Linked DNA regions of Anolis sagrei. The protein of the gene in region 4 interacts with the protein of the main gene of each other region in a pairwise test. Links are inferred from orthologs where the notes say so. Each region holds a gene or a part of one and is shown on either strand. Other genes may lie near its edges.

Evidence for each region.
Region 1: the proteins of SAT1 (region 4) and TACO1 interact in binary tests that used the Homo sapiens proteins (3 or more experiments, as listed by UniProt). The two-hybrid records come from large-scale screens. The link is inferred for Anolis sagrei from reciprocal best matches to the Homo sapiens genes SAT1 and TACO1.
Region 2: the proteins of SAT1 (region 4) and DMRT3 interact in binary tests that used the Homo sapiens proteins (3 or more experiments, as listed by UniProt). The two-hybrid records come from large-scale screens. The link is inferred for Anolis sagrei from reciprocal best matches to the Homo sapiens genes SAT1 and DMRT3.
Region 3: the proteins of SAT1 (region 4) and KCNA4 interact in binary tests that used the Homo sapiens proteins (3 or more experiments, as listed by UniProt). The link is inferred for Anolis sagrei from reciprocal best matches to the Homo sapiens genes SAT1 and KCNA4.

What each region holds. Positions count from the first base shown.
Region 1 is NC_090026.1:17,631,951-17,639,146, reverse strand, and holds the start of TACO1 (translational activator of cytochrome c oxidase 1), read right to left. Parts: upstream 3,022-7,196; 5' UTR 2,954-3,021; intron 2,948-2,953; exon of another isoform or gene 2,552-2,947; intron 1,383-2,551; 5' UTR 1,349-1,382; coding exon 1,132-1,348; intron 1-1,131. UniProt on the Homo sapiens protein: Acts as a translational activator of mitochondrially-encoded cytochrome c oxidase 1.
Region 2 is NC_090022.1:221,028,419-221,036,109, reverse strand, and holds the start of DMRT3 (doublesex- and mab-3-related transcription factor 3), read left to right. Parts: upstream 1-4,667; coding exon 4,668-5,175; intron 5,176-7,691. UniProt on the Homo sapiens protein: Probable transcription factor that plays a role in configuring the spinal circuits controlling stride in vertebrates.
Region 3 is NC_090021.1:259,342,375-259,349,230, forward strand, and holds the start of KCNA4 (potassium voltage-gated channel subfamily A member 4), read left to right. Parts: upstream 1-3,833; 5' UTR 3,834-4,991; intron 4,992-6,020; 5' UTR 6,021-6,800; coding exon 6,801-6,856. UniProt on the Homo sapiens protein: Voltage-gated potassium channel that mediates transmembrane potassium transport in excitable membranes. Forms tetrameric potassium-selective channels through which potassium ions pass in accordance with their electrochemical gradient.
Region 4 is NC_090023.1:86,790,833-86,798,283, reverse strand, and holds the start of SAT1 (diamine acetyltransferase 1), read left to right. Parts: upstream 1-4,440; 5' UTR 4,441-4,627; coding exon 4,628-4,693; intron 4,694-7,451. UniProt on the Homo sapiens protein: Enzyme which catalyzes the acetylation of polyamines. Substrate specificity: norspermidine = spermidine >> spermine > N(1)-acetylspermine. This highly regulated enzyme allows a fine attenuation of the intracellular concentration of polyamines.

The DNA.
Region 1 (7,196 bases), on a different chromosome or scaffold from region 4:
TCTATGTGACCTTTCTCCACACTGAAGGTGACTAACAATCACACATATTGACTCAGGATGTCTGGGAGTGTGGTAGAGCCTCCTTCTCTGGAGTTTTTTTAAGCAGAGGCTGGATGGCCAACTGTTTGGATGGCTTTGGTTGTGTGTTCCTGCATGGCAGAGGGTCCTTGGGTTCTATTTCAATTCAATGATTCTATGATAGTGCATCTCTACAGTATAGGACAGGCACAGGCAAACTTGGGTCCTCCAGATGTTTTGGACTTCAATTCCCATAATTCCTCACAGCAGTGGTTCTCAACCTTCATAACGCCGCAATCCCTTAATACAGTTCCTCATGTTATGGTGACCCCCAACCATAAAATTATTTCTATTGCTACTTCATAACTGTAATTTTGCTAGTGTTATTAATAGTCATGTAAATATCTGATATGCAGGATGTATTTTCATTCGCTGGACCAAATTTGGCACAAATACCTGATACGCCCAAATCTGAGTACTGGTGGGGTTGAGGTATTGATTTTGTCATTTGGGAGTTGTAGTCGCTGGGATTTATAGTTAATCTACAATCAAAAAGAATTCTGAACACCGCCAACAATGGAATTGAACCAAGCTTGGCACACAGAACTCCCATGACCAACAGAAAATAATGGAAGGGTTTGGAGGGCATTGACCTTGAGTTTTGGAGTTGTAGTTCACCTACATCCATAGAGCACTGTGGACTCAAACACTGATGGATCTGGTCCAAACTTGGCACAAATACTCAATATGCCTAAATGTGAACACTGGTAGACTTTGGGGAAAACAGACCTTGACATTTGGAAGTTGTAGTTGCTGTAGTTACAATCAAAGAGCATTCTGAACCCCACCAACAATAGAATTGGGCCAGACTTCCCACACACAACCCCTATGACCAACAGAAAATACCGTGTTTTCTGATGGTCTTCAGTAACCTCTCTGAAACCCCCCTCGCAATCCCCCAGGCGTCCTGACCCCAGGTTGAGAAATGCTACCTAACAGTAGGCTATTAGGAATTGTGGGAGTTGAAGTCCAAAACACCTGGAGGGCCCAAGTTTGCCCGTGCCTGGTATAGAAGCAATACAGTTTGACACCATCCCAATGCTGCCACTGTACCTTTGACTGCCAGTCGGATCATCATGGTGAGCTTCTGGAAAACGCGGGCCCGAGCCAGATCTTTTGGGCCTTTCACATTCTTGACCTTGGACCATTTGTTGTGTCCAGCAAACGCAGCCCAGGAGGCGTGGATGGGCCGACTGGGGTGCTCCAGGAAGGTAAAAAGATGTTGCCGGAATAAGACATTCGCCCGTGTGAAAGAGAGGCCCACCGACATGGCCTAGGAGGGACAAAGAGGAGCCTCCTTGGGGCTAACATTGAAATAAAACATGAAGGAAATGTCTACTGTTAAATCTCTAGATCAGTATTTCTCAACCTTCCTAATGCCGTGACACTTTCTCATGTTGAGGTGACCCTCAACCATAACATTATTTTCATTGCTGCTTCATAACAGTAATTTTGCTACTGTTATGAACTGTAATGCAGGATCCAATATGCAGGATATATTTTCATTCACTGGACCAAATTTGGCACAAATACCCAAAACACCCAAATTTGAATACTACTCGGATTGGGTACGGGATTGATTATATCATTTGGGAGTTGTAGTTGTTTTCATTTATAGTTTGCCTACAATCGAAGAGCATTCTGAACTTCACCAATGATGGAATTGAACCAAACTTGGCACACAGAACTCGCATGATCAACAGAAAATACTGGAAGGGTATGATGGGCATTGACCTTGAGTTTTGGCATTGTAGTTCACCTACATCCAGAGAGCACTGGGGACTCAAACAATGATGGATCTGGACCAAACTTGGCACGGATACTCAATATGCCCAAGTGTGAACACTGGTGGCATTTCGGGAAAATAGACATTGACAATTGGGAGTTGTAGTTGCTGGGATTTATAGTTCAATTACAATCAAAGAGCATTCTGAACCACACCAATGATAGAATTGGACCAAACTTCCCATGCTGAACCCCCATGACCAACCGAAAATACTGTATTTTCTGATGTTCTTTGGTGACCCCTCTGACACCTCTTCGCGACCCCCCTAGGGGTCCCGACCCCCAGGTTGAGAACCACTGCTCTAGAAAGACAATATACAACATACAATATAATCTATTTATACACATTTCTAATTTTTTTAATCATCTACATAGGGCCTAAGTAGACTAAAGGAGCCCCAGGTAGCACAATGAGTTAAACCGCAGTTCAAATCCAGGGAGTGGAGTGAGCTCCCACTGTTAGCCCCAGCTTCTGCCAACCTAGCAGTTCAAAAACATGCAAATGTGAGTAGATCAATAGGTACTGCTCTAGCAGGAAGGTAACAGCGATCCATGCAGTCATGCTGGCCACATGACCTTGAAGGCATCTACGGACAACGCTGGCTCTTTGGCTTTGAAATTAAGATGTGCACCAACCCCCAGATTCAGATACAACTGAACTTAATTTCAAGGGGAAACCTGTACCTACGTAAGTAGACTAAAAGCCTCAGATCCCATCTGATCTTGGAAGCTAAGCAGGGTCCACCTTGGTTAAAAGTTGGATGGGAGACGACCAATGAAAACCTCTAGGTTGGCAGAGGAATGGTATGGAATCCTGGGAGTTGTATTTGGCTGAGGCAGCAGCACTCTTTGGCAGGGAAGGTTTAAATTCCTTGTAAAACTACAACTCCCAGGATTCAATTGCTTTGAGCCATGCCAAATAAAGTAGTGTTAAACTGCATTAATTCTACAATGTAGATGCTCAGGCCTGTGTTATGATCAAAACATTGACACTAGGAGGTGAGTCCCAATTGGGAATGGTTAGGTTTCCATCAAATGCAGCAATGCATTGAAAAGACCCCCAACTTCCACAGAGGTGCCCAGAACCTACCTACACACAACGGCGCATGCGTCCTAGAGTTCCGCAGACGTCATCCCGGCAGCCCCGCCCATTAGGGGGCGGGGCTTTGTAGTGTTTACTCTTTAGTTCCCGCGATACCAGAAGCTGTTCTCATGATGTCATTTTCTATTTCTTTTTTCTTTGTACTTTTATTGATTTCGTTATTATTTTTAAAATATCTTCCAATAAAACTTAACTTTGAATATGTTTTGATGGATTTTAACTGTGATTTTTTTAGTGCTATTTGTGTTTGATTCTGTTTCAAAGTTTGTGTATGTGTATATTTTAAATTGTATACTAATGCTTTTATGGCAAGTTGCTTTGAGTCCCCTTTGGGGAGATAAATATAATATTATTATATTAAAAATACTAAAATTGGAGATATAGGAAAGGAATGCTGAAACTGGACATGAGTCTGAAGCTTTAAAATATAAAAGAATAGAACCAACCTGGGCACAGCATATTATTTGAGAATACAGAACTGCTGGAGCGCTCTAACAACCACCAGACTACACAGAGAAGCCACTAAAATCCATAAGCATATGGACAATTTCAACAGAGAAGAAAACCATGAAAATGAATAAAATCTGGCTACCAGTATTTTAAAAAAACCTCTAGAATCAGGACAGTAAACAGAGCAACGCTCAAAAAACAGGGGAATTCCAGACAAGAATAAATCAGGGCCAGCTAATACCTCCCAACAAAGGATCCCCAGGCAGCAACCAGCCAGGCTTTGAAACTGCAAGGCCATTTAATGCTAATCAAGGTGGACAATTGCAACATTCACACTTGCCTTAAGCAGACAAGAGTCCTTTCTTTCACCCTGGACATTCCACAAACCCCACTTGCCTAGTTTCCAACAGACCTCACAACCTCTGAGGATGCCTGTTATAGATGTGGGTGAAAAGTCAGGAGTTAATGCTTCTGAAACATAGCCACACAGCCTGGAAAACTCACTAATTCAAAATAGATGGACTTTGCCCTATTTGTCTACAAATAATTTATCTTACTGTTTTTTAAAAAAAATAGAGATATATTAGATGACTAGCCAATGCCTGCCACGTGTTGCTGTGGCCCAGTCTGTGTATATGTGTTTTGTGTATGTATATATGTGTATATATGTGGTTTTGCACATGAATTGTCATGTTGTTTTTTTGTTTTTGGCTTTTAAAGTCTCTTCTACTGTGTTTTTTTAGTGTTTTATGAGTGATGGTCACTTGTTGGTCTGATAGATGTATTGTGTCCAAATTTGGTGTCAATTCGCCCAGTCGTTTTTGAGTTATGTTAATCCCACAAATTAACATTAAATTTTTATTTATATAGATAACTAGCCATCCCCTGCCACGCGTTGCTGTGGCCCAGTCAGGTGATCTGGAAAATAAAATAATGAGAAAGTGTTGGTTTATAATATATGTCATTTCTTTATGCTTGTGGGTAAACAGTATTTCTTATTGTTTCCTTGTCAGTGATGATGTGGAGAGTGTCTGGTTTGCCTACTCTGGAATATGCAACATATCATAGTCCTTCTTTAGGGGGTCCCTTTTAAATCTATGAAACTATATCTGTGTGTGTGTGTGAATCATATCTATCTATCTATCTATCTATGTCTATGGCTGGATGGCTCTTTGTCAGGAGGGCTCCGGTTACATTTTCTTGCCCTGGTGAAGGGTGCTAGACTGGATGGTCTTAAGTATTTTCTGTTGGTCATGGGGGTTTTGTGTGGGAAGTTGGCCCCAATTCCTGTCGTTTGTGGGATTCAGAATGCTCTTTGATTGTAGGTGAACTATAAATCCCAGTAACTACAACTTCCAAATGTGAAGCTCTATTTCCCCCAAACTCTGTTTGTGTGCATATTTGGGCATATGGAATATTCGTGCCAAATTTGGTCCAGATCCATCATTGTTCGAGTCCACAGTCATCTTTGGATGTGGGTGAACTACAAAACCAAAGGGCACTGCCCACCAAATCCTTCCAGTATTTTCTGTTGGTCATGGGAGAAGTGTGCCAAGTTTGGTTCAGTTCCATCGTTGGTGGGATTCAGAATGTTCTTTGATTGTAGGTGAACTATAAATCTCAGCAACTACAACTCCCAAATGTCAACATTCTATTTTCCCCAAACTCCACCAGTGTTCACATTTGGGCATATTGAATATTCTTGTAGAGTTTGGTCCAGATCCATCATTGTTAGAGTCCACAGTCATTTTTGTATGTGGGTGTACTACAACTCCAAAACCAAAGGGCACTGCCCACCAAACCCTTCCAGTTTTTTCTGTTGGTCATGGGAGAACTGTGTGCCAAGTTTGGTTCAGTTCCATCGTTGGTGGAATTCAGAATGCTCTTTGATTGTAGGTGAACTATAAATCCCAGCAACTACAACTCCCAAATGACAAAATCAAAAGATTTTGAGTGAAGGACATACATTTGGGTTGTTAGGTGTATGCTGTCCAAATTTGATGTCAATTGGCCCATTGGTTTTTGAGTTCTGTTAATCATTACAAACATTACATTTTTTATTTATATAGTTTAATAATTAATTAATAGATTAAAATATATATTTCTTTTTGCATAAGTACTTTCTCTTCCCGTTTATACCTAGAAACATAGGTCTATCATTGCCCCTACAATAGGAATGCTGGAACTGGAGATTTCTCTAATGATGCATCTTAAAATAGTTATTCCTACTTGTGAGCCAACTGCGCATGCGTAAAGTGTAATAACATGCGGGGAGGAGGGCAGAGCGATGGCAACGGAAACTCGTCCCCTTGTGCCTTTCAGAGTGACAGCCCTACCAGCTTATCGCCTTCGCCCTCTGGAGGGCTTAAGCCCGCCTCCTCCAGATACCTGCCGTTGGAAACAGTTGCAGAACAGGATCTGCCTGCTTCAGGAAGTGGACTGTGGGAAAAGAGAGGCAGGGAGTGAAATCCAAGGGGCAGATGAGGAAAGGAAGGTAAGATCAGGGCTGGGGGGCTGCCTGGGTTGATCCCAAGTGATCCCAGGATCTCTGCCCTTCATTTTAGGGAAGATCCATGGGAGACTTGTGGGCCAGATTTAGGAAAGACACTAAAGATGCATCTACACCAGGTATGGGCAAACTTGGGCCCTCCAGGTGTTTTGGACTTCAACTCCCACAATTCCTAACAGCCGGTAGGCTGTTAGGAATTGTGGGAGTTGAAGTCCAAAACACCTGGAGGGTCCAAGTTTGCACATACCTAGTATAGACTATGGAATAATTTTCCAGAAGAGATCTGACAGCTTGACAAGCTGTCAAAATATGAACAGAATTAAAGACCACTTTAATTTGACAGCTCTTGAACTGTCATTGCTCAATGCTATATGGTATTCTCTGTTTATCTGAAAGGAAAAGGCAGAAAGTCTTGAGGCAGCTTGTGAGACTAACCAATTAATTTTAGCAGGGGTTTTGAAGTCTTAACTCTTTTGACACATTGTTTGATTGACCAAAGCAGGAAGCTCAGATCCGCTTTGTAGATCAATGTTTTTCAACTTTCCTAATGCCGCAACCCCGCAATACAGTTCCTCATGTTGTAGTGACCCACAACCATAAAATTATTTTCATTGCTACTTCATAACTGTAATTTTGCTACTGTTATAAATCGTAATGTAAATATCCGATATCCTTGGAAGGGCTCAGAATGGTCTTTGATTGTAGGTGAACTATAAATCCCAGCAACTACAACTCCCAAATGTCAAGGTCTGTTTCCCCCAAACTCCACCAGTGTCTGATATGCATTATGTATTTTCATTCACTGGACCAAATTTGGCACAAATACCCAATACACCCAAATTGGAATACTGGTGGGGTTGGGGGGGGGGGATTGGTTTTGTCATTTGGGAGTTGTAGTTTTTGGGATTTATAGCTCACCTACAAACAAAGAGCATTCTGAACTCCACCAACGAATTGAACCAAACACGGCACACAGAACTCCCATGACAATATACATAAGCATAATAGAAATCCTGGAATTAGAGGTTTGTCTTATGATGTATCTTAAAATATTTATTGCTTCCCTAGTAGCTACATCCAGAGATTTCTCAACCTTTCTCAACCTTCCTAATGCCGTGACCAGTTAATGCAGTTCCTCGTGTTGTGGGGTTTTTTTTTTTGTTTTGTTTTGTTGTGTCAGGAGCGACTTGAGAAACTGCAAGTCGCTTCTGGTGTGAGAGAATTGGCCATCTGCAAGGACGCTGCCCAGGGGATGCCCAGATGATTTGATGT
Region 2 (7,691 bases), on a different chromosome or scaffold from region 4:
TCCGGCGAGAAGATAACGGTGTTCTATGAAGTCATGCCGGTCACACGACCTTGGAGGGGTCTACGGACAACGCGGCTCTTCGTACCTTTACCTTACTTAGAACCATATAATGCACTTCAATGCAATTCAAACTACGTTAGTGTTGTGTAGAACCATACAATGGACTTCAACGCAGCTCAAACTACATTATTGTTGTGTAGAACAATATAATGCACTTCGGTGCAACTTAAATTACATTCTTGTTGTGTAGAACCCAGGCATGTAGCCGGGGGGGGGGGGGGCTCGGGGGGCTTCAGCCCCCCCCCGAAATTTTCATGGTGGTTCGCGAAAAGGCCTTAATGGTGCATTATTTAAACTGTTATGTTTATTCATATCATGATCTGATCACCATACTCAATATATCCCATATGCATGGGGGTATTGGGGTAATGATACAAAAGGTTTGCTAGGCTAGACCCTCTTTCACTCAGACTCAGCCTTCCCCCGAAACTCAGCCCCCCCCCGAAACCCCCCCTGAAAAAAATTCAGCCCCCCCCCCCCGAAACGAAATCCTGGCTACGGGCCTGGTAGAACCATACAATGCACTTCAACTGAGTTCAAACTACCTTATGTGGTTTTACACTGAGCATATAATGCAGTTCAATCTGTACTATATGGCGGGTGTAGAATCAGCCTTATTCATAGGGTCGTCGTAAGTCGATGTCAGTTAGCAATTTATCTCCTTTTGGGGACATAGGTAGGGCTAGAAATAAAGTTTTATTATTGTTGTAGTAGTTATTGCTATTATATTTATTAATTAACAACAACTAATATTATGTAGTTAGAGGAACAACAAATTAAATAGTTTCCCCCCCTTTCATTTAATAGGCGTTTAGCTGGCCTTCGTCTCTTATCATTTCCTTCCCTTTATTTCCTTGACGCTTATCCCACTCATCAAGTTTAAATCTGTGATCTCAAATACCACTTCTACGACTTGTATTTGGAAAGATCGATGCCAAATATACCCCACTTAAGTATCAGCCCTACCAAACCATGCTCTCCTCTCCCCTCTCTCTGTTGGTGTGTATGTGTGTGTATATATATGTGTGTGTGTGTTCATCTCGGTGTTTAGGAATGAGGGGCGACGAGATCTATTTTCTCACATCATTCCTATTTTGGCGGGAAATGCCAGAAGCTGATTGGCAACGTCCGTAAAACCGAAGCAGCCCATTAAAAAACCACGACCAAAAAGAGAAAACAAAGTTTTTCTTTAATTAAAGGGAAAGGTTGGTTTGTTTGTTTTTCCCTATTCGAATAAAGCAATAGTACCGTTTTAGAAGATATCCCTGTTGAAAAATAAACAAAAACTCCTTAAATATAGTTTTCCAAAGGCCATTCTGTATTGTGCTGGAGGCATGAGCGCAGGAGTAATGAGCGCAATCGCTATTCAAATATTTGTACAAGATCACCATTCTTGTGAGAAAGGGGATCAAATGAGAAAGCAGTTTCTACAGAGCCTTATTTTCTCAGAGGAACAGGCATTAAACTCAAATGCACAAGGCTTTCTCCTCTTCTCTAGCACTCAAAAAACACAGTGCGGAATTCACGCGAGACCGGGGAGGAGGACTATTCCACAGCATCCCACTGGAGAGTAATTGGCCTTGGCTGAACAAACCGGGCAGCCTCTCCTCTTGTAAAGGGCCGCGAGCTTTGCAGCAAAGTCGCAACATACCAGAAAGGAAGGGCGCGCTGGGTGGAAACTGCCCCGAGTGGCCTCCTAATCCAGTCCCTAGGCCCCGAGTCCTAGGCGACATGGAGCCAATGGCTTGGCACCCCTTCTCTTCCCCCCTTTCTTGGCGAGCCCGCAGGTGCAGGAGGAGACTGGGACACTTGCAAGACAGCCCGGGAGCAAGACCCGTTGAGGAGGCTTTGTTCTGAAGTACAAATATCGTCAGAAAAGACCTGACACGGGGCAAGCCCCACACGAGGACCATTTCAAGTGTTCTTCAATCAATGGGCTGGGAGAGTTCTGTTTTGGCTGAAGCGCCTGGTAAGAGTGTGGCAGGACTGGCACTGCAGAGTCAACTTCTGTTAGGAGTGTCTATCTATCTAGACAGCCATCCATCCATCCATCCATCTAGCTAACTAGTTAGGCGTGCGTGCATAATGTCTGTCTAGCCATCCATCCATCTATTCACCTATCCATTACTCCAGCCAGATAGCTGCTAGATGGATGGATGGCTAGATAGATATTATGCACACACACCCTTACCTAGCTGGCTAGATGGATCTTATTTATCTTGTCTAAAGCGAATTGAGAATACAGTTATAGATGGATGGATGGACTGACAGATATTATACACGTACACCTAACCGGATGGGTGGATAGATAGATAGATAGATAGATAGATAGATAGATAGATAGATAGATAGATAGATAGATAGATAGATAGATAGATAGATATTATGTACACAAACACACCTAACTGGATGGATACATGGTGGATAGGTAGGTAGATAGGTAGGTAAATAGATATTATGTACATAAGCACACTTACCTAACTGGATGAATAGATGGTAGATAGATATTATGGACACATAAACACACACACACACTTACCTAAATGAATGAATAGATAGGTGGTAGATAGATAGATATTATGCACACACACACACACACACGCACACACACACTTATCTAACTAGGTGGATGGATAGATGGTAGGTAGGTAGGTCGATAGATAGATAGACAGATATTACACACACACACACTTACCTAACTGGATGGATAGATGGTAGGTATGTAGATAGCTAGATATTATGCATACACAAACACACACACACACACACACACACACACTTACCTAACTGAATGAATGGATGGTAGCGAGTTATTATGCACACACACACACACACACACTTACTTAACTGGATGGATAGATGGTAGGTAGGTAGGTAGGTAGATAGATATTATGCGCGCACACACACACACACACACACACACTTACCTAACTGGATGGATAGATGGTAGCTAGATATGCACACGCAAGCGCACACACTTATCTAACTGGGTGGATGGATAGATGGTTGGTAGGTAGGTAGGTAGGTAGATATTACGCATACACAAACACACACACACTTACCTAACTGAATGAATAGATGGTAGGGAGATATTATGCACACACACACACACTTACCTAACTGGATGGATAGATGGTAGGTAGGTAGGTAGATATTATACACATACACACACACTTACCCAACTGGATGGATGGATAGATGGTAGGTAGGTAGATATTATGCATATACAAACACACACACACACACTCTTAACGGAATGAATAGATGGTAGCTAGATATTATACACACACACACACACACTTACCTAACTGGAATGATAGATGGTAGCTAGATATTAGGTGTGCATGCACACAAATACTTACCTAACTGAATGGATAGATGGTAGGTAGGTAGGTAGGTAGGTAGGTAGGTAGGTAGCTATCGCGCACACACTCTTACCTAATTGGATGGATGGTAGATAGATACATAGATATTATGCACACACACACTTACCTAACTGGATGGGTGGATAGATGATAGATAGATGGATATATATATGCACACATACACACCTAACTCGATGGATAGATGGTAGGTAGGTATATAGATATTATGCACACACGCACACACTTACCTAACTGGATGGTGGATAGATAGATGGATAGATATATTATGCACGCATACTGGATGGATGGATACAGGCATGTAGCGGGGGGGGGGGGCTCGGGGGGCTTCAGCCCCCCCCCCCCCCCGAAATTCTCATGGTGGTTCGCGAAAAGGCCTTACTGGTGCATTATTTAAACCGTTATGTTTATTCATATCATGATCTGATCACCCTACTCAATATATCCCATATGCATGGGGGTATTGGGGTAATGATACAAAAGGTTTGCTAGGGTAGACCCTCTTTCACTCAGACTCAGCCCCCCCCCCCGAAACTCAGCCCCCCCAACCCCCCCCTGAAAAAAATTCAGCCCCCCCCCCCCCCGAAACGAAATCCTAGCTACGGGCCTGGATGGATAGATATACATTATGCAGACACACCTAGCTAGGTGGATACATAGATGGCTAGATAGATAGGTAGGTAAGTCACAGGTATATATGTGTACATATATACATACAGCACTCGTTGGATAGAAAGATAGAGTACCAAGTCCTGTAGTCCTTTGGGCAAAGAGTCGAACCAAGAAACCACTTTGCCTACAGGCGCTGCAGGAGGAAATTCTAACTCTGCAGAAGGGGTACCCACACCCTCCCCCCCACCTTGACATAATGGCTTCTCCTCCCCTTCGCATTTTTAAGCTGGGGGCGCAATGGGCAAGTCCATCTGCTTGGTGGAAGGAGGGGGCGAGTTGGGGCAGGGCAATCGCCTCCCCCCACCCTCGCTGTGATCTCTCTCTCTCTCCTCTCTCCCCCCCCCCCCCCCCATTTCTACAGAGCGAGAAAGGGCGGGAGAGTCTTGGGGGCGAGCGGAGCAGAGAGGGAGAAGAGGAGGAGGAGGAGCATCGGAGGGGAGAGGCGGGGAAGGCGTCCGGGCAGGCCAGTCGTGGCTGAGGCGCCTGCGGGGGCGTCCCTGGCGGCGTGGGCTCCCTTTTCCCTCCTCCTCCTCCACCTCTCGGGCTGCGGCCATGAACGGCTACGGCTCTCCCTACCTGTACATGGGGGCCCCGGTCTCTCAGCCCTCGCGGGCGCCTTTGCAGCGGACCCCCAAGTGCGCGCGCTGCCGCAACCACGGCGTGCTCTCCTGGCTCAAGGGCCACAAGCGCTACTGCCGCTTCAAGGACTGCACCTGCGAGAAGTGCATCCTCATCATCGAGCGGCAGCGCGTCATGGCCGCCCAGGTGGCCCTCCGCAGGCAGCAGGCCAACGAGAGCCTCGAGAGCCTCCTCCCGGAGTCCCTGCGGGCCATGCCCCCGGGGGGCCCCGCATCCGCGGCCTCCGTATCCGCGGCCTCCCCCACCCCGCCGCCGCCGCCCCCCGCAGCAGCAGGAGCTCTCCTGGTCCTCCCCGCAGAGGGACACCCCACCCGCACCCCCGCCAACGTCGAGATGGCCCTGCGATGGGCCTCCGAGCAGAGCCCCAACGCCGCCAATGCTGCCAACGCCGCAGCCCTACAGCCCCAGATGCCCAAAACAGGTAAGGAAAGGGAGCGAGGGGGTGGTTCTTTGAATTCCCATTGAATTCCCCCCTTGGAAGGAAAGAGAGTCTCCTGCTGTAAGGAAGGGGAGATAGAGCAGGAAGATCTAGTCCAGGCATGGGCCAACTTCGACCCTCCGGATGTTTTGGACTTCAACTCCCACCATTCCTTGGTGGGAAAGGGCTTGAGGCTGTTAGGGATGGTGGGAGTTGAAGTCCAAAACACCTAGAAAGAGGGCCCAAGTTTGCTCAGACCTGATCTAGTCCCCCCTCCCTCCCCAGATGTGGCAGGTTTAGGGTCAAGTAGATTCTCATCTCTTTATCAGTTTAGACAGAAGCGTTTCTTCAACTGAAGTCCTCGAACTGGCGAAAGCCGTTTAAGCGACAGTGCTCATAAGCATGTGTAGTGAGTTCCCTCGTTCGAGGGACTTGGAAACAGCTCCTCCTGGCTCTTTGCAGCTTCCAAGCAACCGAAGAAGGAAGGGACAACTGTTGCTACTTGTCCCACTGAATTCTCCTCGGAAATGATGGGACTCTTTAGCTGTAAGGAAGGAATATATAGCCTGGATCTGCACTGCCATATACAGTATATTTTTATTTCGTGTCAGGAGCGACTTGGGAAACTGCAAGTCACTTCTGGTGTGAGAGAATTGGCCGTCTGCAAGGAAGTTGTCCAGGGGACGCCTGGATGTTTTGATGTGTTACCATCCTTGTGGGAAGCTTCTCTCATGTCCCCGCATGAGGAGCTGGAGCTGACAGAGGGAGCTCATCCACGCTCTCCCTGGATTCGAGCCTGCGAGCTGTCGGTCTTTAGTCCTGCCGACACAAAGGTTTAACCTACTGCGCCACCGGGGGCTCCATCTGCTATCCGATAGGTCAGCGGTTCAAATCCGGGAAGATCGGGTTGAGCTTCCTCTGTCAGCTCTAGCTCCCCATGCATCAAAACATCCTAGCGGACTTGCAGTTTCTCAAGTCGCTCCTGACACAAAACAAAAGTTCAAACTGCACTATACTGCAATACTTACTTACTTACTTACTTAGGCGAGTCCTCCTTGGCCGAGTAGGATAGTCTTCCAGGATCAGTATTCTTGTGGATCCGTAGGTGACTGTGGAGTCCTATTCTTGACCTGCATCTTCTCCCGCAGTGAGGGCATTGGTTTTGGTCAGGGTTAGCTTGAGGCACCTTCCTCTTCGCACGTTTCTCTCTTTCACCCTCCATTCGTGCCTCTTCAAATTCTGCAGCACTGCTGGTCACAACTGACCTCTAGCTGGAGCGCTCAAGGGCCAGGGCTTCCCAGTTCTCAGTGTCTATGCCAGAATTTTTAAGCCTCTACGTTCATCAGATGGAACCAAACTCCTGAAGGACCAAAATTAAATTGCACTAAGTTGAAAAGAACACTACCAAAGCCTCCTGAACCCCAGCTCCAATGTGGCCGAAGAGGTTCTCTCACAAATCCCTCAACAACAAACCAGGGATGAGCTTGCAGCACTGCCTAGTTTGGAAGAAGTCAGCAATGTCATCTGCCAACAAAAAATAACAAAGCCAGCGGACCTGATGGGATCCCTGCTGAAATCTTTAAAGAGGGAGGACCTGAGCTGACACAACAACTCCACCAGCTCATATACGCAATATAGATGGGGTCATGGGGGTGTCTATTTCCCCTCAGATGTAGCAGCTATGTGTTTGTGTATAGGGGCGGGGGGGGGGCAAGTGTAGAACCCCCTTGTTCAGAGACTTAGGCCCTATCTACACTGACCATTTTATGCCATTTCGAACCAGTATGGAACCAGTGTGCAAAGAAGTAAAGTGGCTTTTTTGCACAGATGATTAGATAGAACATTCTGAAACCAGCTTGAGGCCTGGAGGGGGGTGACACAAAGAGCTGATGCGTACGAGGGGCTTTCTTTTGCATCTGCCCGCCACGGCCATTGGAAATTAGCATCGAATTGCATTAAATGGTCAGTGCAGATGGGGCCTTACAGTCAGCTTCTCGGCGGCGCCTGAAGAAACGACAACTGTTGCGCCTGTAGCTTGGGAGCCAGTTCCACTTCATCCTCCATATAAACTGACCCCTGAGTGACTCTGTCCAGCTGTCAGGAAAAAAGATGTAGAAAAAGGATGAGGATCCGGCCTCTGAATGTTGGCCGAATCTGCTTAGCCTCCATTTTTGGATAGGCCGGATGAGGATCCGGATTGTCCCATGAGGTCAGGAGGATCCACGGGGAACTTACTGAACACAGGAAACTGGTTTGCCCTTCAATAGGAAAGAAATAGGAAAGAAATAGGAAAGAAACCCTTTCAAAGGCTTCCCCCTTGACACACTAGAGAATGAATCCACTTTAAAGCTGTCTCCTGAGGTTTGTAGTTTAGTGAGGCTGTTCAAGGCTCCTCCCTAAACTACAAACCCCAGAATTCTGCAACCGGATTTAAAGTGGATTCATTCTCCAGTGTGGTGAGGTTAGACGTCGTGTTGGACTCAAGGAGGCGGTGCTCATCTCCCTTTCTAGGAGGCCGG
Region 3 (6,856 bases), on a different chromosome or scaffold from region 4:
CACCTGCAGATAGATTCTATAGTAGAATGGATGCAATTTGACACCACTTTAACTCCAATGTCTCAATGCTATGGATTCTTAGTAGTAGTAGCTTGGTGAGATGCTAAAAACCTGTGTTTGAAAAAGTTTAGCCTAGTTTAATTTTGGCCCCTCCCTACTACAGTGCTGTGCATGTCTGTTGTAGGCAGTTACCTTCAGATGATGCATGTAAGGTGCAGAATCTAGAAGGCTTGGGTCTCACTCAGTGCTGGATTTAGGACAAATGAGGCCATGTGCTAGTTCAGTTAGGAGGGTCCTTCCTTGGGTCCTGAAGGAGGTTGGCCCAGCAGGCCTCCACTGACTGCTTCGTGTCACACTCCCATAGACTATCAACTCTATCATTATGCCTGGAATGGCTCAGAAACTGTCAATATTTGTTTTAGCAGAAAGGGGTCCCTGTACTTCTACACCACTAAACACAATGGCAAATCTGGGACTGGTCCCACCACGTGGATCCAAAATAGGTCTTCACGGCCACTTATGAACCCACTGTTTTGTCTCTACTCTTGGACGACAGTCATACCTGGAAAGGAGTGATCACCCATGAAGATATGCAAGTGTTCGGGGGGGGGGGGGGGGAGCCCTGGAACATGAAACACTTTTGGTCACAAGCATTTCAGACAAAAGAGGCACAGTGTTGCTGGGAGTTTTCCAGGCTGTATGGCCATGTTCCAGAAGCATTTTCTCCTGATGTTTTGTCCACATCTATGGCAGGCATCCTCAGAGGTTGAAGACTCTATTGGAAACTAGGCAAGTGAGGTATATATATCTGTGGAATGATGTCCAGGGTGGGAGAAAGGACTCTTGTCCGCTTGAGGCAGATGTGAATGTCTAAAATCAGGACAGTTAATAAAGAACAACACTAAAAAAGCAGGGGAATTCCATGCAAAAATCAATCAAGGCCACCTAACACCTCCCAACAAAGGATTTCCCTAGGCAGCAACTAGACAGTCTTTGAAGCTACAAGGTCATTAAAATGCTAATCAAGGTGGCCAATTGCAACCGTCACAATTTCCTCAAGCAGACAAGAGTTCTTTCTCATCCTGGACATTCCACAGATATATAAACCTCACTTGCCTGGTGCCCCTGGTGGGTTTAACCCTTGTCCTGGCAGGACTGCTGACCAATAGGTCACTGGTTTGAATCCAGGGAGAGCAGGCTGAGCCCCCTCTGCAGATGGCCAATTCTCTCACACCTGAAGTGACTTGCAGTTTCTCAAGTGGCTCCTGACACACACACACAAACCTCTTGCCTAGTTTCCACCAGACCCCTCAACACCAGGACAGAATGCTTCTGGAACATGGCCATACAGCCCAGAGAACTCTCAGAAACCCAGTGATTCTAGCCATGAAAGCCTTGAGGCCTCATCACACTAGACTAGAGAATGAATCCACTTCATGGACTGGGCTGTGGCACAGCTAGTTAGTAGCCAGCTGCATTAAATCATTACTGACCAAGAGGTCATGAGTTTGAAGCCAGCCTAGGGTGAGAAGGGCGGAATATATGGGCCGGAGGTTAAGCACAGCTGGGAAAACATCAGTAATTATAAGATCTATCAACCAAAAGGTTGCAAGTTCGAAGCCCTGGGTTGGTGTGAGCTGCCAACTGTTAGCCTAGCTCATTGTTTACCTAAGCAATTTGAAAACAGCTTTAGCTGTGATTAGAGAAATTAGGTACCGCTAAAAGTGGGGGAGGTGTTTTATGATGCCATAAAGAAATAAGATCAGAAAATGCTGGGCGACCAAAAGAAGGAAGTCCTAATGGCTCTTCGTCATAGAGGATAGAGCAACAGCATCCCCTGGGCTTGAGCTCAACCTCCATGGCACCTCCTTCTGTTCTGTGTATTGTCTATACAAAGTGGCATTGAATGTTTGCCGTGTATGTGTACTGTGATCTGCCCTGAGTCCCCTTTGGGGTGAGAAGGGTGGAATATAAAGGAAGTGTTGTTGTTCATTCGTTTAGTCACTTCCGACTCTTTGTGACCTCATGAACCAGCCCACGCCAGAGCTCCCTGTCAGCCATCACCACCCCCAGCTCTCTCAAGGTCAAGCCAGTCACTTCAAGGATGCCATCTATCCATCTTGCCCTTGGTTGGCCCCTCTTCCTTTTTCCTTCCATTTTCCCCAGCATCACTGTCTTCTCTAAGCTTTCCTTTCTTCTCATGATGTGGCCAAAGTACTTCATCTTTGTCTCTACTATCCGTCCCTCCAATGAGCAGTCAGGCTTTTTTTTCTGAAGTATGGACTGGCTTGATCTTCTCTTGGTCCAAGGCACTCTCAGAATTTTCCTCCAACACCACAGTTCAAAAGCATCTATCTTCCTTCGCTCAGCCTTCCCTATGGTCTAGCTCTCACATCCATAGGTGACTATGGGGAATACCATTGCTTTAACTATGTGGATCTTCATTGTCAGTGAGAAGTCTCTACTCTTCACTATTTTATTGGTCATTGCTCTCCTCCCAAGAAGTAAGCGTCTTCTGATTTTCTGGCCACAGTCTGCATCTGCAGTAATCTTTGCACCTAGAAATACAAAGTTTGTCACTGCCTCCATGTTTTCCCTCTCTATTTCCCACTTGTCAATCATTCTTGTTGCCACAATCTTGGTTTTTTTGATGTTTAGCTGCAAACCGGCTTTTGTGCTTTCTTCTTTCATCTTGATTAGAGGCTCCTCAGCTCCTCCTCGCTTTCGGCCATCAAAGTGGTATCAGCTGCATATCTAAGGTTTGTTTGTTTGTTAACTGTTTTTATCTGAAATATGTGGCCTGCCCATTGTCATCACTACCATGTTTGTGTTTATTGGAATGTTTATTTTATTTTAATGTCATTTTGATAATGTTGTTGTTGTTTGTTTTATATGCTTTGATTTTATTGCTTTATTGATTTTATTGCCCCATGTAAGCCGCTCCGAGTCCCATTGGGGAGATGGTGGCGGGGTAGAAATAAAGTTTTGATTGATTGATTGATTGATAAGGTTGCTAATGTTTTTTCCAGCAATTTTAACCCCAGCCTTGCATTTGTCAAGCCCTGCACATCGCATGACGTATTCTGCATGAAAGGTGAATAGGTTGGGTGAGAGTATACAATCTTGCTGTTCGCCTTTATTATTATTATTATTATTAATAATAATAATAATATAAATACTGTAAATAAGCAATAAATAAATAAATAAATAAATACGGTTGCCGCGTCCTGCAGAACTCTGTGGTTTGTAGTTTAGGAAGGAGCCTTTAACAGCCTCACTAAACTACAACCCGCAGAATTCTGCAGGAGGCAGAAACCGGATTTGAAGTGGATCCATTCTCTAATGCAGGGGTCCTCAAACTAAGGCCCAGGGGCTGGATGTGGCCCTCCAAGGTCTTTTACCCGGCCTTTGTTCAGGGTCAACGACTTGAAAGCACACAACAACAACAACAATCCTATCTCATCAGCCAAAAGTAGGCCTACATTTCCCATTGAAATACTAATAATTTTATATTTGTTGAAATTGTTCTTCATTTTAATTATTGTATTGTTTTAAGTATTTTTTGCACTACAAATAAGATATGTGCAGCGTGCATAGGAATTCATTCATTTTTTTTCCAAATTATAATCCGGCCCTCCAACAGTTTGAGGGACTGTGACCTGGCCCTATGTTTAAACAGTTTGTGGACCCCTGCTCTAGTGTGATGAGAGGACCAGACAAAGGGGGCACAATCTGTACGTGGGGCGGTGCTGGGGTTGGGGAGGAAAAGGGTGGCAGGTGCTGAGGAGGCGGCTGACCGCTAGGGGCCGATGGAGAGCTAGCAAACCTGCGGAATCAATCAGACCGAGCCCCGCCGTTCTGTCCATCAGCGGATGCGTAAACACAACTGCGACTTGGGCAGGCGACTCCTTCTCCCGAGCGAAGGTGTATCGGGGAAAGGGAGGGAGGGAGGGAGAGAGAGAGGGAGAGGGCGACGAGCGGGCGAGAGAGAGAGAGAGAGAGAGAGAGAGAGAGAGAGAGAGAGGCCAGGCGCAACAGAGCGCGCAAAGCAGCGTAGGCGCAGGAGGCGGCACGGGAGCATCCTAAGAAGAGGAGGAGGAGGAGGAGGAGGAAGCAGCAGCAGGAGCAGCGCCTTCAAGGAGCGGCCCCCTCCCTCCGGCTCCCCGAACGGCCCCCTCCCTCCCTCCCTCCCACCCTGACCAAGATTATTCCGAGGAGAAGAGGAGGCACGCGCGGAAACAGAGCGGCAGCCACGACAATAACAACCAAAACAACAGCAACAACAAGTGGACGCGATTGCCTCGGGAGCGAAATCGGGCGAAGCGAGCCACCGCAAGGCAGCGGGGAAGGAGGAGGCAGGAGGGGACGGCCGCAAGGCAGCGCGCGGCGTGGGTCTGCGAGGCGCGTCTCCTCTTTTCCTGCCAGTAGCAACAGCCAGCTTTCCTCGGGGAGAGAGGAGCGGGGAGAGAGGAGGAGGAGGAGGAGGAGGAGGAGGGCGCCTTCCCCAAGGCCTTGGCTGGCAACAACTGCTTGGCAGAGGCGCGCGCGAGGGAGAGAGGCCGGTCCCCGGGCCACGAGCAGCTCCCGCCCATCTCGCCCAGTCCAGTCTGCTTCTGCGGGAGGCGGCGGCGGCGTTGGATGCCTTCTTTCCCTCAGGGATGGCTATGGGGTCAAGCACAGCGGGAAAGGCAAGACGAAGTGAGCTGCGGCGGGAGCGTGCCCGGAATGCCCCCTAGGACCAACCCTGGGGGTGGCCGTGCCCTGGCTTGCCTTCCCTTCCAGCCCGCGGCTCACACACCAAGGAGGCCCAGCCAAGCCGTCGCCCCTCTGCCTCGCTCCCCTCCTTCCTCCTCCTCCTCCTCCTCCTGAGCGCCGCACCTGTGAAAACAGGTTGCTCAGAACAGCCTCCCCTCCCTCTCTCCCCCCCCCCCCCCGCCCGTTCTTCTCTCGCTTTGCAGATCCTCAACGCTGCCTTTTCTCTGCCTACCGCGGTAAGTAGACAGGGATGGTCCTCCCTCGAAGCTTAGGGGCTATTTTAGATCTCGTTTTAAGGAGATTTTGTCTCTGAAGCATGCTTGTTTTTTTAAAGCCTCAATATGGGTAGTTCGCATGTGGGAGGCTCCGTTGCCTGGCTGCTTGATTCCTCATGCAGCACCACCTCTTCGCTCTAATATTGCCTCATGCTGCCCGTTTCTGTGCTTTTTCTCTCTCTCTCCTCCCTGGAGAAATGTGGTCATCCTTCCCAAAGACAGGTCTTGATTTGAGAAAGTGTATGATGAGCCTTCTCTCCCCACAGTGTGCTTACTGTCATCATGTTGATACATGTATTAAGGGCAGCGCTTTGTTCTAAAAGGATTCTGGGTGGCATTTGTCCATGTTTTTCTCTTGATTATATGTACGCATCCATTAATTTAAAGCCACGGTTGATCACTAACCTACAACCGTTTCCTACCAATCCAGGAGAGCCTTTTTAAATCCATTATACAGGCATAGAGAGCACAGTTGGGCTATTCCTGCAAATATCTCACTGTAAACACACACTGCAACAGAGGCAGACCAGATCTCTCTCTAGTGATAAAAAGCACTGTGTGTGAAACAGTGAATGCAGACAGAGAGCACAACAAGCTGTGCACCTCATTATGTTATAGTCATCACATCTATTCTGCATTCATGCTCATGTTGTTGTTCACAAGTAGATCTCTATATATATTATGTAATGCAGAGATACCTGCATTTCACAGTCTAGGTTTGTATTCAAAATCATCTCCCTAGATATTAAAAAACTCTGAGTGAGATGTGGGTGTGTGTATGCTTGCTTATTCTTCTAACTACATCTATATATAGTCAGATGAACATAGACACAGAAAGATTGTGTGTGCCGCATGTGGGTGCACAATGACAGGGAATGATGAGTAGTGCAAGTAGGCAAATCTGAGCCTTTGATGTGAATTACCTTAATCTGGATTATGATCAATCCTTTTCCCCATCCCCATTTTTTTGTTTTCCTGTATGTACCTCAGGTTACACATGACTGCTGCACAGGACTAACCGAAAGGTGCTCCATTCCTTTCTCTCCAATGGGAAACAAAGAACCAGTGTTTCAACCATCTCCTCCTCATCCACCTTCTCTCTCCATAATTGCTGTTCCAGCCAATGCTTTGCCCAGTTTGAAACACTGTTGAGAGACTGACGGATGTGGTTATGCTAAGACCTCCTCACTGTGTAAACAAAATGAAAACTGGAAGCTCCTTCAACTTTCTAAAGAAATTAATCAGCAATCTCATTTCTAAGCTGTTGTGAGAATACTGGCTGTTTTGCACGTGATTATGCGAGAACTCAAGAGCTTTTGTGAGGGGGAAAAACCTGTGCCCCATCTTCATTTGCTTAAGTGCATCGTTTGCATGATGCAAAACATTCAACACCATGAACTCAGAGCTATGGATTTTTCATAAAGCTCTGAAGAAAGACCTAGCCAATGTGTTTTCACAGATAAAAGGACACCATCCAGATATATTGTTTGGCTACTTCAGAAGATTCTGTACTGTACCTGTGAAAATATTCTTGAGGAATCTTTGTGTCAAAATCCTCTGGACCCTACCTAAGAAATGGAACTCTTGCCTCTGAGAAATCTATGGTGTGAAAACTCAAGTCTGCTGCTAGTCTGAGACAACACTTTTTCGAAAACATGGCTTTCCAAACTTTAGTGGTCTTGTCATTCTCATGCAAAGCACCCAGTGATAAAGGCTGAAAAAACAGACATCTTTTTTCCTTCTTAGTCTTCAAAAACAAGCACATACAACATGGAGGTTGCAATGGTAAGCGCAGAGAGCTCTGGGTGCAATAGCCACATGCCTTA
Region 4 (7,451 bases):
TACAACTCCCATGATTCCATAGCATTGAGCCATGGCAGTTGAAGTTTCCTGCTCCTTGGTTTTGGGTTGGACTGGATGGCCTACGAAATCTCTTCCAATTCTATGATTCTAATAGGGCCGCATCACACTAGAGAAAAAATCCACATATAATCCGGTTTCTGCCTGCTGCAAAATTCTGGGCTTTGTAGTTTAGGGAAGGGCCTTTAACAGCCTCACTAAACTACAAACCCCGGAATTCTGCAGGAGGCAGAAACTGGATTTAAAGTGGATTTTTTTCTCAAGTGTGATGTGATGTTAAACTGCATTAATTGCACAGTGTAGGTGCATCCATAGTCTCCTTTTCCTATTGCCACGCATTATGTCCTGTCTAAGAATTCATATCTTCTCGTGCTATCCCCCAAAGCATAACTGTCTTCATGGCTTCTAGGGAGTGTTCAGGTTTGATCAACTCTAGGTTCTTTTGTTTTTGTTTTTGGCAGTTATTGATATCTGCAGAACTCTCCTCTTTCATTCACCATTATTTCAAGTGATATTACTATCTTCACAATCGTACATAGAAACATGTAATACAATGATGTGGACAATCCTGAGTTTGATATTCAGTTATATATCTTTACATTTGAGGCACCAAAATAGAAACTGTGTTTGGCCCATCCTGCTTGGGCACTCTATTTTGAATGGATTTGGTAACAGGACAGTATTTATTTATTTACAGTATTTATATCCCACTCTTCTCACCCTGAAGGGAACTTAGAGCAGCTTACAGAACACACACATGGCAAGCATTAAATGCTGATTATACAACTAACAAGGGCAGACAACACAACAGAGGAAAAGGCAGTTTTTCCCCATCTTATTTCCAGCAACCTGGAGGGTGTGCTCGACTCTGGCCATGGAGGGTGCTGTCACTCCATCTTCCATGCCGAGGAGCTACCTCCCAATGATGTCTTTAAGGGGTTTTTATTATGTCCCCACTAAAAACGGTACCTATTTATCTACTCGCATTTCTGCTTTCAATCTGCTAGGTGGGCAGGTGAGCTGGGGCTGACGGTGGGTGCTCAACCCTGCCCCGGGATCAAACTGCTGACCTTTTGATCAGCGGGATGTTTCCGCAGCACAGTGGTTTTGTCTGCTGTGCTAAGCCCAGTTTGTCTTCTGTCTCAGTTGGCAAAATGTCTTGGGCAGTTCAGTCTATCAATAACAGCTTAATTTGATTTATTTATTATTATTTATTTCCAATATTTCTATTGCACTTTTCTCAACCTCCGAGGGGGGACTCTGGGTGGCTTACAAACCGGCCACAATTCGAAGCCTCAGTACAATACAAATATAAGCACAAATAGCAACAGTTTAAAATAGTAAATAAAACATTAAGATAAAACATGTTAAAAACATTGTAATCAACCATATAGCCAAGTTCAGTCCGGTTCAACATCCAAGGTGCTGTCATGCTTGCTTTCTAAAGGCCTGGTCTCAGAGCCATGACTTAACCTTCTTCCTAAAAAGAAAGGAGGGAAGAAGCCAACCTGATCTTGCTGGGGAGCGAGTTCCACAGGCATAGGGCCACCGCCGAGAAGGCCTTGTCCCTTTGCAAGGCTGGCGGGACCGAGAGCAGGGCCTCCCCGGATGATCTTAAGCTATGAGGCGGGATGTAAAGGGAGATACATTCGGACAAGTAAGCTGGGCCAGAACCGTATAGGGCTTTATAGGCCAAGACCAGCACTCTGAATTGTGCTCGGAAGTGGACAGGCAGCCAGTGAAGCTGGCACAACAGTGGAGTGGTGTGCTCCCTGGATTTATATCTTTGGTATTTTCTCACCTTATACATCTTTGACTGTGATTAGATAACCCTTACATTAGTACAGGCAGGAAATAAAAATTTAGAGAAACGTATCTGAGGACTGTTTTTTCACTTCTCAGAATTAGGAATAAATATCCTGAACAAGAAATGGAAATTGCCACTTATGTACGTTACACAGTATGGTGATTCAGTCCTTTGCTATGAATTGTATTTTGAAAGACGTGGGGTGGAGCCTCCTGTAAAGTCATCCAGGGGCAATAGCCTGCTTGTAGAGAGGATTAAGCATTCTTTGTGGGCGTGTGGCCAGTTTAACCCATGAAATCGTTCTCAGTGAAACTGTCCTGGTTTATCTGAAACAGGAAAGTCCTGTTGTGACACCTAAATGTGTGTTAATTGGCTCACCTAGATTAGATCTACACTGCCCTATATCCAAAGATCTGACCCCAAGCCCCTTCTGCACTGCTGTATAAAATCCAGATTATCTGCTTTGAACTGGATCATCTTTGAATTGGACTCATATAATCCAGTTCAAAACAGATATTGTGGGATTTTCTGCCTTGATATTCTGGGTTACATAGCTGTGTGGAAGGGCCCCTAGACTCAAGGGTGTTTTAAATATATTAACAAACCTTTTTTTCTGTTGGTGGTAATAAAACTAGTGTGTGTCTTACAATTATCAGTGTCTTAGAATGCGAAAAATGCTGGTATGATCTTTTATTTCTCAGCTGAGGACAACCGGAAAAGATTTGTTCAGGCTCAGCACATTTTATTTTTGAGAAAAGCTAACTAAAGCTAATATGTCGCTGAACATGATCCAGATGGTCAGTGAATCACTGGTTATACATTTTCATTAAGCTGCTTGTAGATCTGAAGTCTCGTGTCTTACTATCGGTTTAAGAATGAAACAATAAAGTTGTACAGGTTAAGTATCCCTTATCTGGTGTTGCTATAAGAAAGTCTTATAGCAGGGGTCCTCAAACTGTTGGGAGGCCGAATTATAATTTGGGAAAAAAACATGAATGAATTCTTATGCACACTGCATATATCTTATTTGTAGTGCAAAAAACACTTTAAAACAATACAATAAAATGAAGAACAATTTTAACAAATATAAACTTATTAGTATTTCAATGGGAAGGAGCCCCCGGTGGCGCAGTGGGTTAAGCCCCTGTGCCGGCAGGATTAAAGACCGACAGGTCGCAGGTTCGAATCTAGGGAGAGGCGGATGAGCTCCCTCTATCAGCTCCAGCTCCCTTGTGGGGATATGAGAGAAGCCTTCCACAAGAATGATAAAAACATCAAATCATCCAGGGGTCCCCTGGGCAACGTCCTTGCAGACGGCCAATTCTCTCACACCAGAAGCGACTTGCTCCTGACACGACAAAAAAAAAATTGGCTGATGAGATAGGATTGTTGTTGTTGTTGTGTGCTTTCAAGTCATTTCAGACTTAGGTTGACTCTGAGCGAGGGCTGGGTAATTGACCTTGGAGGGATGTATCTGGCCCCCGGGCCTTAGTTTGAAGACTCCTGTCTTATAGCAAAACCAGAGGCACTCCAAGTGGCCAGTTACTGGTCAAAGGACATTTAATATAATGCCAAGCTTTTAAACATTGTGTTTTCTCAAATACATCACAACTATACCCTTGGTTTGCCCCTGATACGATAAATAATAAAATCTTGTATCTGACATATCAATACAGGCATTCCAATTCCAAATTAAAATAAAACAAAATTCAAAACATGTATCATCCAAAGCATTTAGAGTGACTTATATAGAATGGCAAATTCAAATGTCTTTGGAATTATTATTAGCCACAGGAGTATTATAGACCCTAAGGGCCTTTCCACACAGCCATATAACCCCGAATATCAAGGCAGAAAATCCCGCAATACCTGCTTCAATCTGAATCCATACTGCCATATATCCAGGTTCAAAGCAGAAAATGTGGGATTTTATTCAGCTGTGTGGAAGGGGACAAAGAATACTTTTTAAAACTCTTTTTATTAAACAGTAAAACAGTGTTACATTAAGTCACATTTGTATTTTGAATTATAGTATTAATCAAGTCCAGACATGAGTTTGTAGCATGGAGTATAGTATTAGGGCCCTTCCACACAGCCCTATATCCTAGAATATCAAGGTAGGATATCCCACATTATCTGGGTGTGGACTCAGATAACCCAGTTCAAAGCAGATATTGTGGGGTTTTCTGCCTTGATATTCTGGGTTATAGGGCTGTGTGGAAGGGCCCAGGGCCCTTCCACACAGCCCTATAACCCAGAATATCAAGGCAGAAAACCCCACAATATCTGCTTTGAACTGGGTTATTTGAGTCCACACTGCCCTATATTCCAGTTCAAAGCAGAGAATGTGGGATTTGGTCCAGTTGTGTGGAAGAGCCCTGTATCACTTCTTCAGTGTAGTTGAAGGCAAAGGGCTTCCCCAGGAGGGGGCAACCTCACCCTAGGCGCCGCCTTGCCTTCCGCCTCCCGCCCGAGTGAGTCATTTCCTAGAAGGATGACGTCAGGGGCGGTGCGCGAGAAGAGAGGGGAGGCTGCCTGGCGCTGATTGGACAGGGTGGCGAGTGGGCGGGGCCGCAGCAGCCTATATATTCGGCGGCCCTCCTCACGTTCCCAGCACAGAGACTTCCGGATTCGGTCGCTTTGTTTTCCTTCCTAAGCCCACGTTACGGGATGCTGTCCGCCTGACTACCCGTGTCTCGCCGCCGCTGCGCCCAGGACGCGAATGAAGAAACTGCTCCTCCTGCTCTTCAACTATCGGGGACTCAATCGAGGCGGGGGACGCAAAGGGAAACGCCGTCGGAAATGGACTCGTTCGTTATCCGCGCCGCGCGGCCTGAGGACTGCGCCGACATCCTGCGCCTCATAAAGGTATCTGGCCTTCTCGCCTGGCCCGGAAGGGAGCGGAAGGCCTACACCAGTGTAGGTCAGCGGTTCGTAACCTGAGAATTCCCAGGTGTTTTGGCCTACAACTCCCAGAAATCCCAGCCTGCTTACCAGCTGTTAGGATTTCTGGGAGTTGAAGGCCAAAACATCTGGGGACCCACAGGTGGAGAACCACTGATGTAGACAGACAGACAGGAACTAATCAATAAAGACAGATGTAATAATAATAATAATAAACCTTTATTTATACCCCGTTCATATCTCCCGAAGGACTCGGTGCGGCTTACAAGAGGCCGGGGCCCAATACATAAATAAAACAACAGCATAACAAATACAACAATAATTAAAACTCATAAAACAAGCAATAAACATTAAAACAATGAGAATAAACATTAGACAAGAATCCACCCAACATAATAAAGTTAAACCCCAAGTATACCCATTTAGCCTCTTTTTTATTTTTGATACATACATATATATATATATATATATATATATATATATATATGGGGCATTGGTAAACTTTGGCCCTCCAGGTGTTTTGGACTTCAACTCCCACAATTCCTAACAGCCAGCAGGCTGTTAGGAATTGTGGGAGTTGAAGTCCAAAACACCTGGAGGGCCAAAGTTTACCCGTTCCTGATATATACACAGAAAAAGGGGTGCTTGCTTTTTGGTGACTACAAGACCTGAAACTTGTCACGAAGACTTACAAAAACCCAAATCCCATCCATTCTCAGCTATGATGATACAGGTTTTTTTTTTCTAAATATGTGGCCAGAAAGTAAAGTCAAAGTTTGAGCTGGAGTCCAAGGTTATCTCCTCCCAATCATGAGTGCTGACATGGCTGATTTGCCTTTTCCCCCCCTTTAATCTGCTAACTCCAGATGCCTTGTGACCCACATCTAAGGAAACTGCTTTTGAAAAACAACAAAAAGGGAAGGGCTTTGTTCTCCTTTTACTTCCCTCACCTCAATAGTTGCTTTAAGGAAGTATTGGTATCAGCTAGAGAGGGTGGTTCTCTTCCTCATTCTTCATTTGAATGTCTAGTTGCTTGGAAGTGAGCCCCATTAGACCCAGAGAAACTTGGACCCCATCTATACTTGCATTTAATGCCGTTCCAAACTGGTATTGGAAGCGCAGATGGCTGAATAGAAAATGCTGGAACCAGTTTGAGGCCTGGATGGGTGATTACACAAATCACAGAGTGTTAAAGAGTATTAAGGACTTTCTTTAGCATACTTTTTTCTTATCTCCTTTTTCTCTCTTTTTTTGGTGTGTCCATGACTTTTATTAGGGGCCCCTGGTGTTGTAGCGGGTTAAACCATTGAGCTGCTCAACGAAAGGTTGGTGGTTCGAATTTGGGGAGTGGGATGAGCTCCTGCTATTAACCCCAGCTTTTTCCAGACTAGCATTTCGAAAACATGCAAAAGTGAGAAGTGGTATCAATAGATACCACTTCTACAGGAAGCTCCATGCAGTCATGCTGGCCGCATGACCTTGGAGATGTCCACGGACAATGCCGGCTCCAAAATGGAGATGAGCACAACCCTGCAGAGTCAAACACGACTAGACTTAATGTCAGGGGAAACTTTTACCTTTAATATAGCTTTTTTTAATATTAAAAAATAAAAACAATATTATTCGCACTCACAAGGAAAGTAAAGGTGGGGTTAGAGGTGGTGGAGCTCTGGTTCGTAGATTAGAATTCTATAATTATCTGCTATATCACTGAAGAAAAGGAACAGGATTGATGGGGGAAAGAGTTTGTTATAGTTATTGCATCTATATCTTCCACACAAGTGCTATTTGCACACATTTGTGGGAGTTCTATACCAGGCTGGCTGCTTTACAGTGAACTTTGAACTGCATCAAATGGTCTGTGTAGATGGCATCAGTGATATCACTTACAGGTCAATGTTTCTGTAAGCTCTGGAGTCACATAACCCATCTGCTGGTAAAGTAGGCCCTTGATCTCTCCTGTAATGGTGTTCCTTGAATAAAATGGCTAGATCAAGCTATCCTTTTTGGATTCTTTTTTAAAAATACATTTTCAATCTGTGGGTGATTGAATCTGTGGATATGGAAGGCCAGCTGTACTGAAAATGCCTTGCTTGCAGAATGCTGAGTGCAAAGGTACACGTGTACAAATGGAGAACTGTTTGTTCCATAAACAGCTTTTCTTGTTGGGCCCAGATACTTTGGCCTCCTCTGCGTTGACAAAATAACCCCTCCCTGCTCTTGTGAAAGAGGCTGTACTGCCTCCACCCTCTTTGCAAAGCTAAACGTCATGGAAAATTAGTCAACAGTTCCTGTCGAGTCAACAGTTCGTGTCCTTGAACTGTGTTGAACGACAAGATGGCCTACTTGTAAAAGATTAGATCTCACCTTTGGCAGACTTCTTCTAAATATGGCTCAAACAGATTCAGGATCAGGGGAGATAGACTTTCATACAGGGAACATTTCATAATGTGAACTTGAGTCTAGGTTTGTTTAACTTAATTCGTTGGGTGATTTTTTCCCCCCTTCACATTACAAGCAGCTCAAGTTATTGGAAAAATAATAATTTTATTTCATATCCTCTTCTCAGCACTGCTCAAGATGGGTCACAGCATAGTTAAAAACAAACAAATACTATAAAGATTCTACAAACACACATTAAAATTCAGTTCCATAGAAGACACAGATCAAAGCATTTCTGTAAAATACACATTAATCACACAGAACAGAGACCAAAGTTCCA